Schizosaccharomyces pombe: one gene and its partner. Changing the gene in region 2 together with the main gene of any one other region gives a genetic interaction. Each region holds a gene or a part of one and is shown on either strand. Other genes may lie near its edges.

Evidence for each region.
Region 1: mutations in SPOM_SPAC7D4.12C (region 2) and SPOM_SPBC3F6.01C together harm fitness more than expected from each alone (negative genetic interaction), as found in Schizosaccharomyces pombe (one large-scale study listed by BioGRID).

The regions. Positions count from the first base shown.
Region 1 is NC_003423.3:4,183,943-4,189,116, forward strand, and holds SPOM_SPBC3F6.01C (serine/threonine protein phosphatase), read right to left. Parts: upstream 3,017-5,174; 5' UTR 2,953-3,016; coding exon 1,531-2,952; 3' UTR 657-1,530; downstream 1-656. Other genes in the region: pho8 (alkaline phosphatase), read right to left, coding at 1-243, 378-582; erg26 (3 beta-hydroxysteroid dehydrogenase/delta 5-to-4-isomerase), read right to left, coding at 3,765-4,787. UniProt on the Schizosaccharomyces pombe protein: Protein phosphatase that specifically binds to and dephosphorylates the molecular chaperone Hsp90. Dephosphorylation positively regulates the Hsp90 chaperone machinery.
Region 2 is NC_003424.3:2,612,571-2,618,100, reverse strand, and holds SPOM_SPAC7D4.12C (uncharacterized protein), read right to left. Parts: upstream 3,295-5,530; 5' UTR 3,060-3,294; coding exon 780-3,059; 3' UTR 506-779; downstream 1-505. Other genes in the region: secretory pathway protein Sec39, read right to left, coding at 1-126; SPOM_SPAC7D4.13C (uncharacterized protein), read right to left, coding at 3,795-4,718, 4,791-4,805; protein Iss10, read right to left, coding at 5,346-5,530.

The DNA of each region.
Region 1 (5,174 bases), on a different chromosome or scaffold from region 2:
TAGCAGCCTCTAAGATAGTTCCACAAGGTTTTTCATTATCCAAAACACCAACAGCTCCGTTGTAGGTTTTATTAGCACAAGAAAATGCGGTTGCTCCGGCTGCACTATCCGTAATCAAACTCGAACTGGAACGTGTCCGTGAACTGCCAATTAAATGCTCATCCAAGGGAAGCCTATAACCCTCTTTATCGTTTAGAGTCTCTACAAACGATCTAGTCATAGACAAAGAGCCAGGTCCCATTCCTTTAAAAAAAGTCAGTCACCGAGAAATATTGTAAAAAAAAGGAAGATTCCGTCCCAGTGCTCTAAATATAAAAAAAATCATTTTCCTTCAAAAGAGCAACGGATTTATGAGAGAGCTTACTCCAATCACTTACCGTCAGAAACCATCATAATAACAAATTTTGGTTTCTCATTGGTCCCTTTGGACTTATGAGACGAGAAAAAATAAAAAAATATAACGGTTGATAAAACAAGGATTAACAGAATTCCATGTTTTATCCAAGTTTTCCAATTTCTACGAGAAGGGCTCTCCGGACCCTCGCCATGCACTGGCAGAAGAGGATCGCGCTCAGATGCCATTGAAAACTATTTAAACGGTAAAAATTGAATATCTCTAAAAGAAGGGATGTCAAAGGGTAAAGATCGTTTCAACGCGTATGACTTGTTGATGGATAGTACAAATTTTTGGTGTTGAAACAGCTCAACCATACATTGCATGACGTCATGGTTTAAAGTATTAACTCTCCATGTCGATCCTCGCTATCTTAAATCTGATATCGGATAGTATATGCACAAGTTAATCGAGAATGGCAATTCACCAAGTCCACAAGAAATAGCGTGATGGTAAAACTGTCTATATATACATGTAATATCTACTGTCAAATGCAAGTAGCTGTTGAAAATATTAGAATCAGCTGCTGACATGAAAATCCCGTATATCCAAAATTCGATGCAATTACCTTTCGACTATTATTGAGATCTTGTCATTAACGAAAAAAAATATATATAAGCAAATGAGTTGTGAACAGAAAATAAACAAACAAGTAAAGGACTGAACTGTTACTTGAAAATAAAGTACAGTGTTTAAAGTAGAAGACACATTGATGACTTATGATGGCAGTGAATTTTGAGGGTAATAATAATAAGAAGACAGCATTTTAAATCAGTGCGATATTAAAGGATCAATTGTTTTATTTACTTCATTGTTCATATGAACTTAAACATTATTTATATTTTTATTGTACAAAGAACGTGAAATGGAACTTTTGGAATAAAGAGTAGCTAATCAGGAATTAACATTTGGGAATTCCTAACCATCCAGGTATCGAAACCAATCCTTAAGCTAAAGATTAAACATACAAATAGCATTATTTTTTTGAACGACGGTAACTTCATAAAAACCCAAACAACCAAGTCTTCAAAAAATAATTTAACTGGATCATATAGCTGTGGAACAAATTTTTTCAAAAACCAGAAAATTAAAAAAATGTGGGTGCAAACACTGAGAACAGTGCTTGCAGTCTCCCATCACATACCACTTAGCAGTCCATTGGCATATGCCATTGGGCGAATGTTAGGATGGGGAACGGCTTCAAATTGGTGGAAATCCAACTCCATGTCTTCCTTAACTTTAATTACGGCACCAAGATTTCCGGTACTATCACAATAATTAGGAGCACTAAACACAGTAATACAATAACCATCGTGCTCAACTTCGTAGCCTTGATCTCTGACTTCATGAGAACGGATCACTGCTTTAAGACCATTAGCCTCGCAAAAACGTTTTGAAACATCAGGGCCGAATTGTAAACCCACCCCACGTTTCGATGGTCCTCGTCCTGGAGCAGGTTGTGGATCGGTCCAAAGCATTTCCATCATTAACCCAGATTGTCCAGGTTGCTTTTTACTAAATCTATCAATGTTTCGTAGTTGGTCTAATGTTACGTTATCATCAGAAAATAGGCCACCATGTACAACAAGATAAGAATCGGAAATTAGGGAACCAAGAGGTAGCAGAGAAAAAGTTTCCGAGAAAATATTAAATGTCCTCTCATTATACTTACTACGACATTCACCTTCGAATCCGTAGACTTTGTTCATATCGTCAGTTTCGTGATTACCGCGATTGATGAAAACAGCGTCCGGATATAATAACTTATATGCATAAAGAGTAAAAGCGACTTCAGTGGACCACGAACCACGATCGACAAAGTCACCATTGAATAAATATTTGTTAGTAGGGCTTGGAGGACCATGAAGTTTGAAAATGTTTAACAAGTCAAAATACTGGCCATGGGTGTCACCGCAGATAACCAATGTCTCATCCCCTTTAACAGGAATGTCAATTAAAGAAGGAGTTTTTTCAAGTAATTCTTTTAAGTCTCGCAATATGCTATATGCAAATTTTAGGGGGAGTTTTTTACCTTGGCAAAAGCGTTCCTTCATGTCTTCAACAAACTCTTTCGTTATTTGCTTTTCTAATATTACACCATCATAGTCAGAAGGAATGTCCATGTCTTCAATGTTGATATTCGCAAGTGGTGAAGGAGGTTCAGTATTATGAATAGCCTCCTGAAAACGAATCCTTTTGACCAATTGCTCACATTCACGAAGCTTTTTACGAGCAGCTGGATCACTGGGTGCTAGTGCCAATGCCTTTCGGAAGTCACCGACAGCCTCTTTGGGTTGAAAAATAGCAATATGAGCAGTAGCTCGACGAAAATATGCCTTTGCATATTCGGGGTCGCATTCAATAGCTTTGGAAGCATCATTGATTGCCAGACCATAATCCTCTGACTTTAAATGTGCAAGAGATCTATTGGAGTAAAGAATTGCGTTTGTAGAATCAAGCTCAATGGCTTTTGTATACAAATCTATAGCTTGAACGATATGTCCCTCTTTTAGAAACTTGTTGGCTTCATTTTTTAATTCCAATGCTTCTTTAGCCATTTTATTGAGCAAAAAGTACAAATTCAAGCCCTTGTGAGTTTTTGTTTGGTGGTTGATAGTAGCTAAAAAAGTTTTTATCTGTCCGAACAATGCAGCTTAATAATTGGTAGTATTGGGCTACAAAGAAACAGATATTTAGGATTCTCAAAGATCAAAATGATATTTTTAGAACAACAAATTAATGGCTTTATAAATGCAAACTTTGCAACGCAGCATACATATTAAAAAATAAATACAGAATTTACACAATGTTTTACATTAGAAATCTCAAAAACTTACAAGCGTAATAAAAGCAGTTTCTATGAAGTGTGTCTATTCATTTATCTACGAAATAAAATGACTCGAAACTTATAATACATCAATACATCTCAGATGAGAAAAACTTACAAGGCAATCATTATGTAAAGGAAATAACCATTGTTTTCTAAACACAAGTGATACCGGACAATCTTCGTATAGTTCAAAGAAAGATAACAAAAGCAAACGAGCTGTATCCTTCTCGTCTCAAGCACAACGAGTAGAAAGTACAAAGAGAACGTTATATTGATGTTATTCGATCTTGTCTATATTCCAAGATACCCAAATATTTTTTTTTCCTTTTTTAAGATCTGAGCAATCATCTATCAAATGAAATGATGATATAAGTCATTAACAATTTCCAAAGCGGAAAAAAACTGTTTCGTATCGACATGCTCAAGAGGTAGAACTCATCGAGAAGAAAGTGAACTATGTAGAAATGAAAAAAGACTACGAAGCGTTAGAATTTAAAAATTAAATATTCTTTTAAAGAATAACAAGGCCAATGGCTCAATTTAATGTTTTTTCTCAGTATCCATCCAAGCCAAAGTACGACGAATTCCTTCCTCCAAATCCACAATGGGATGGTACTTCAAAACATCTTCTGCCTTTTGAATGTTAAAGTAACGGTTAGCACAACTAAATTGGACACGGAAACGTGTAAAGCCAGGTTCCTTTTTCAAGAAATAACAAACCCATTCAGCAGCAGTGGCTAAGAGCATACCCACCGGTCTAGGGAATTTGATGATATAAGGGGGAACGTGTCCTGCATGTGCCCAAATAGCACGTGCAAAGTCCCAAAAGTAAATAACCTGTCCATTGGTAATGAAAAAGACTTGGCCATTGGCAGTAGGATTACTAGAAAGTAAATTGTCCATAGCCAGAAGATGAGCATAGGCAGCGTTTTCGATGTAGGTAAAATCAAAAAGATTCAAATTATCACCCAATTGAAATTTGGTTTGTCCATTCTTTAAAACAGAAAGCATACCAGGGACGAGTTGGCGATCACCTGGACCAAATAAACCAGCAACTCTAAGGGCAGCAGTTTTTAAAGATTCAGAACTTGCCTCCAAGACTTGTTTTTCTGCCAAAGCTTTGGACTCGTTATAGGCATCCATATGAACTTCTGGGATGGGCTGGGACTCATCCACATTGATAAGGTCAGCACCATTGAAAACTACACCTGCGGAACTAGTATAAACAAGGGCATCAACATTAAATTTCTGGCATGCTTTGATGATATTCGCTGTGCCATCTACGTTCACTTCAAAGTAAATATCACGAGCAAGGTTATGCACAGGTGAAGCAGTGTGAATAACTACGCGTGGATGAAATTCCTCAAAAACACGCTCAATATCACCTTGTTTCGTTAAATCACCCGTATACATGGTGAATTGACCATGAAGCTCGTGTAGCAACTTTTCATTTTCAAAGAGATCAAATGCAGCAATTCGAAGATTTTCACGTTCGCACAGCTGCCGTATGATATGACCTCCTAAAAATCCACTTCCAATAACTAACACGGAATTCATCGGCATTAAAAAAATACAAGAATAAACGATTGTCTGGTTCTTGCCAGGTATTCGACGTTACACCATATCGAGAAATGAGTGAGCTTATTTGCTACCTGTGTTTTTGGGGTGTAGGCTAGATGCAATACACTAACCATGATTAGCGAGAAAGAGAGCAGCTGTTGAATATGGAACATGGGTTAGAGGATAGTAGCCGATTGAAACTCTATTAGTACAATATGTAGTACGCACTTAGAAAACAGAAAAATTAAGTGAGTAACATCTCGAGTACCATTACAAGAAAACGATGACCTCCCGACCTCGTACCGTTCACATCTAAAACTGGCCTATTGTAAAGCAATGCTGCGTGCTACCTTAAAGCTCGATAATGTTGATAGCAGCCAAAACCCAATT
Region 2 (5,530 bases):
CAGTAACTTGTAAACAAATTTAGCTTCAGGTAATTTCTTATTAATTATTAGAGATATTAAAAGGTACAATTTTTGTGATTCAGTTAATGAAAATAACCATTTGGACTCCAATTTGTCTTCATTCATAATATGAGCTTGGAAAGAAGGTAAGAGTCAGGGTAAACATTACTTACCATGGGATGAGGTGATAGTAGGTCAAGTTTCCTTAACTAAGATATTTTTAGTTTAGCATTATTGAACTTAATAATAGCTTGTTAGTAGGAATTATTAAGATACATTAGGAAGTTTTTACCGTTATTTACATATCTCAATAAACTCATGATTTTTTTATGCTTTCCTACAAATATTAATATTTTCAAGCGGCGTCAATAAAGTCTTTTAATATACAAAACGCAGTCTAGTTATTCAAAACATCAGCAAATCACGAATACAGCATAAATTATATATCAGAATTATTTACGAGAAGTTGTACTCATGCTCTATATAATCTTTACAATAAGCTCTGCTAAATCTTTGTAATAAATTGATTAATTTTTTTAATAATCAGAGAAAATGATACTCTATATGCTAGGAAATACTAATAAATAATAAAAAATCAAGTGAAGTTGATTAATAAATAATATCCGACGTCTCAGTACGGCATAACTTAAGCCATAAAGATCAAAATAGATTTAAATTTTGATATTTTTTAAAGAAAAAAATTCCGGATTTTCTAGAACCAGTAAAGAGGAAGCTTTATAAAAATGTGAATTTTTGAAAAAATTGAAAAACGAATATTGTCAAAAACTAAATAAGCCAGATCGTCGTTTTCCGAAAGGATACACTACCAATGCAGACGCAAATAGGCCAACAGAAATTCCGATAGCAATTTGAACCATAACCAAACCGAATTTTAAAGAATTAACATCCAAAGTAGAAGAACTTGAGGTGTTGTAAGTATTGTTCGTTAAAGAAGTAGCAACTTCAATGCCAGAAGAAATACCACCTTGAGCAGCCAAACCAGAGGGGACTTGAACAAATATAGCAGGCAATACAGCAGCGAACGCAACTCCTCGACCTAAACGTGAATATATATTACCCAAACAACCAATCGCAAAAGAACCAATTGCATTCGCAATCGGATTTGATCCGAAATGCTTGGCGGTGAAATAATTAACGACATAGCCTGCACAAGATATGAAAATCGAAACAGGCCATTGAGAGGGCCTTGCCTGATTTACAATTAAAAGACACAAAGTAAACAAGGGAACAAACAAAATTTTCCATTTATCATCCATTTGAGTAGATACCGGACATGAAGTTGAGTCAGTGGCATTATGATCCATCCAACCATAAAGAGCTGCCCCAATTGATATACCGAAACTCAAAAATAAAGAATAAATGATGGCATAAAACATTCGAACTCCTCCTGCCACAATATTTTTACTTTGTAGCTCCAGCGAACCACAAAGTACGATATAACCTGGAAGAATTAACACAATCGCGCCCTCCGCAAGCGCAGAAAAACAGAATCGACGACCACCAGAATACCGAATGCTACCAAAAGCTCTACTTAGAAAAGATGTAATAATTGAGCCAGTCACCTCAAAAAGACTATTATACATGGTTGAACGAGGAGCGATATAGTGCTGAAGAATCCCTACGAGGCAACCTAATATAAATGCAATAGGCAAATCAATCCATCCGCCTTGAAAAGACATCGGCAGAATAGTGGCACTAGCAAAACCATAAAAAACAACAAGTATCCAAGTTCTAAAATAAGGAGGAGATTTAAAAATTTCATCTAAACCTCTAATTGCCTCCTCAACACCCATACGGTCGTGCAAAACAGCTTTATATATGTCATGGACCAACTTCAAACGCCCAAGATCAATTGTTTGATTTACACGAACAATGTGCATATCAGAAGTATGAGTGTTAACATCACCAAATGACACTATCATACATCCAGGAATGTACAAAAATTGTCCCTCTATTTCGAGAACCTTTGCTGCAGAAGCCATATGTTCTTCTAAACGATGACTAGGAGCACCATATACCATTAAAGCACGGCATAGTTTTAAAATATATTTTTGGCGTTGTAAAATGTCAGCCAAATGAATAGTGATTTTATATTCTTCGTTCAAACCAGAATTCTTCCTACTGTGATGGTGAAAATTAAATTTTCTACCACGAGAATGACCTGTTTTAGAGAATTGAGGAATTTCCTCCGTAGACTGCAAGCCAGAAGCAGGCGCCATAAAAGTCTGATTTGATGCGTGCAAAAGGTCTGTAAGTGAATTACTAGAAGCAGTCCTTTTAGCGTGTTTTTGCCATTTTGTAGGATCAGTGTGCTTCAAAGAAATCCTACTGGATGTAACTGTATTAGAATTTGTATACAACTTCAGCAAATTTGACAATACGCCGCCACGATAAGAAGCCTTAGGATTAGCAAATGGATCAGATTCATCTATATTGTCATCTTGTTCGTTATCTTTAACATCTTCTCCTTCATCATTAGCGGCCTTCAAAGCGTTTAGCCTCATATGCTCTAATCGAGCTGCCGTGTGAGCAGCAACAAGCTTGTACGCTTCTGTTGTAGTAGAGGGTAGTTCATTAGTTGATTCGACATTAGACATTTTTTCCGGATCGCTCTGTAAATTTTTAGCAGCGATCATAGGTGCTGAGTAGCTTCTATCCAGAGTAGGCCTACGCATTGGTAAGCTATTGACGGAATTTGAACTACTTTGGGTTTTATAGCTAGCTGCATAGCTTTCAACGTCTGTATTCCTAGCATCCAATAGGCCTACTTTTGATGCGGTAGGACTTGGAACAGCCGGCATGTTTACTAAATATTGATCCATGGAAGTTATAGAGCCTCTTTTGCGAAAAGCAGCAGGAGAAGGCGCCCTATGAACAGGAAGAACCTGTGGTCCATCATCATCCTCTGTATCTTCATCATCTTCTTCTATTAAAAATGTAGGGGTCTGAAACGAAGTGGAACTCGGAAAAGATGTTTGTAAGGGAGAGAGGTAAGGTCGTCTATCGGTATTGAAACGCACTCTACGATTTCCGTCCATTGTTTTTTATTTTTCTAAAAAATAACTTTTCTTTTCTAAAATGATAATAAAATTTGAAGATATTCGTGTCGCTGATGTTAATCGCAACAATCAACACACGCCCATAAAAAATCTAATTTACTTCATTCAATGAATCATCACAAATATGATCAATTGTTTTAAAATAATTTAAAACAATTGCAATTCACTAGTTGAAGCACTACAGTTTTCAATTGACACTCCTAAGTGGGTTTATGCTAGGTGGTTAGTGAACACTTTACGCCTCTATACCAAAAATTCCACGTGGTTCGCCTTAATGTCGTTCGTGTCTAGAGCCAGCTTTAGGGAGTAATCAGTATTTTATATTTATTCTTTTAAAATTCTCCGGCCGTATAATAAAAAATTGATGGTTTCTGATGCTGTCGGCGGCGACGCAAATTCATTAAATATGAAATATATTTACTGCCCAGCTTTAAAAAAAAATATACAACTTAAACGACAAAGCTTCCCTCACTTTATTCTGCCACTTATCTATATTAAAAATGTATTTACTTATTACTTTAATTAGTTTTTACAAATGACCATTAAACTCTGTCAACATAATATCCTGTTTCTACAGGATACAGTCATTTATTTAATGAATAATCATCGGTAGTTACTAGCATTATAGCATTCATGCCACGAATCTCAGACCGTGAAATAAAATACTATATAAAAAGATTATAAGCAGCATTAAGCCAGTAATTTTCGTTAGTATTATTTGGTTTTATTCAAATAAGCCGATGATAATAGAATGTCACGAAAAGCGAGATTCATGGAAACAGAAAGTTTTAACTCGGTGCCCCGAAAAATAAAATAATTAACCAACATCAACAACTCGTCTCTGGAAAATGCATTTAAAAATGTTGTTTTCAAGTCAGTTTCATAAAATCTTTTTCTTGCTTTAGCAAGACTTTTGATATGTAAAGGTTCTAAGTCAAGATGAAGAAAAATCTGTAAATTGTTTATTATATTCAAATTCTCCAGCACATACTTATTGTAAAAGTCATCTGTAAGGCTCATCGTGCTAGCTTTAGAATACTGATAAAACAAAATCCTTAAAGCTGCCATAGGAGGAAGGATTGCCATATCCAAGAACTTTTGAATTAGGAAAGAGGGGTAAGGAATCAATAAATTTCGTGGACTTTTAAATTTTGATAAGATATACTGCTGGTCCTTTTCAAATTTCATATTTTCTCTTCGAGAAAATGACCACGAGATGTCTCCTAATGTCTCAGCAGTCATAGGATAAGGCACGAATGAAAGAAGGTGTCTATTCCTTTTAAAAGGATGCAACAAAGACGATTTTGAAAATTCCAAAAGATTTGCATTCGTGATCCCATGTTTTGTAAGAATATCAGTTATTTTTTCGATAACTGGGTATGGTTGGTTTACTAAAAGTAAACATGCACTCGGAGAGCTTTTAATTTCAGGAATTAGTTTATGAATTGAGTCGACAGTTAGATTCCATTTGGTAGATACTATAAAGGTCACTCCCTTGTATCCAGTATATTCTTGAACTTTAAAAATGCTATGTGCATTTTCGGGATATTTAGTAATACATTTAACGCCCTTTAAAAATTCATTTTTCAGTTTCGTCTTTAAAAGTTGTATTGCTGAGTTTTTGATGTTATGAGTACCCTAGGTTTTAGTAGTTAGAGAAAGAAAGAGAAAAATAATGATATGTAATATTCATTCAAAAAGCTAACCTACAATAAATAGACTCATACGTCTAAATGAGTTGTTTCGACCGTCCGAATTTTGCTTTTATTAAGTCCAGTAGAATAATCGCTGTAGACGTAAGTAAAAGGTCTCTTATGTTACAGTCAATTAGGGTTTATGTGTCTTTTACATGCTAATGTTAACTAAAGAAACTTTTTCAAAATTTCTTCAATAATCTTGCATTTGGGAGCTTTAAAATTTGATTATCGAATAAGAAAGTAATATAACTATTCACATAATCCATAGTCTCTTTGTTTATTCACATCCATTAGAATAGGCTTACAAAGTACTTATACTATTTATGAAACGCCTCTTATTAATCATCTAAAAAAGTATTTATGTATAAATGAATTTGAAAATGTTAACTGAAAGTGCGAAACCAATTTATGCAACATGAATATTCTATCTACTATAATAAATGTACATCAAACATTACCAGTACTAAAGGTACTTAATTTTCTTTATAAGTTAAAACAAAAACATGCAAATTCAAATATTCCGCCAAGCAATTTTTAAATTGTTGCGCGCACTTACGGAAGAGTATAGCTAATAATCATAAAAGCTATGATGACGACGCCTCTCAATTTCCTCTGCTAATTCATAGTCGTTATAATAAGGCGCAGAAGGCTCATAAGTAGTATGCGTTAAAGGCATATGCTGCCGAGAAATACGAGAATCAGACATGTGAGGCGGACTTTCATAAACTCCATAAACTGAGGAAGTGGGGTAGT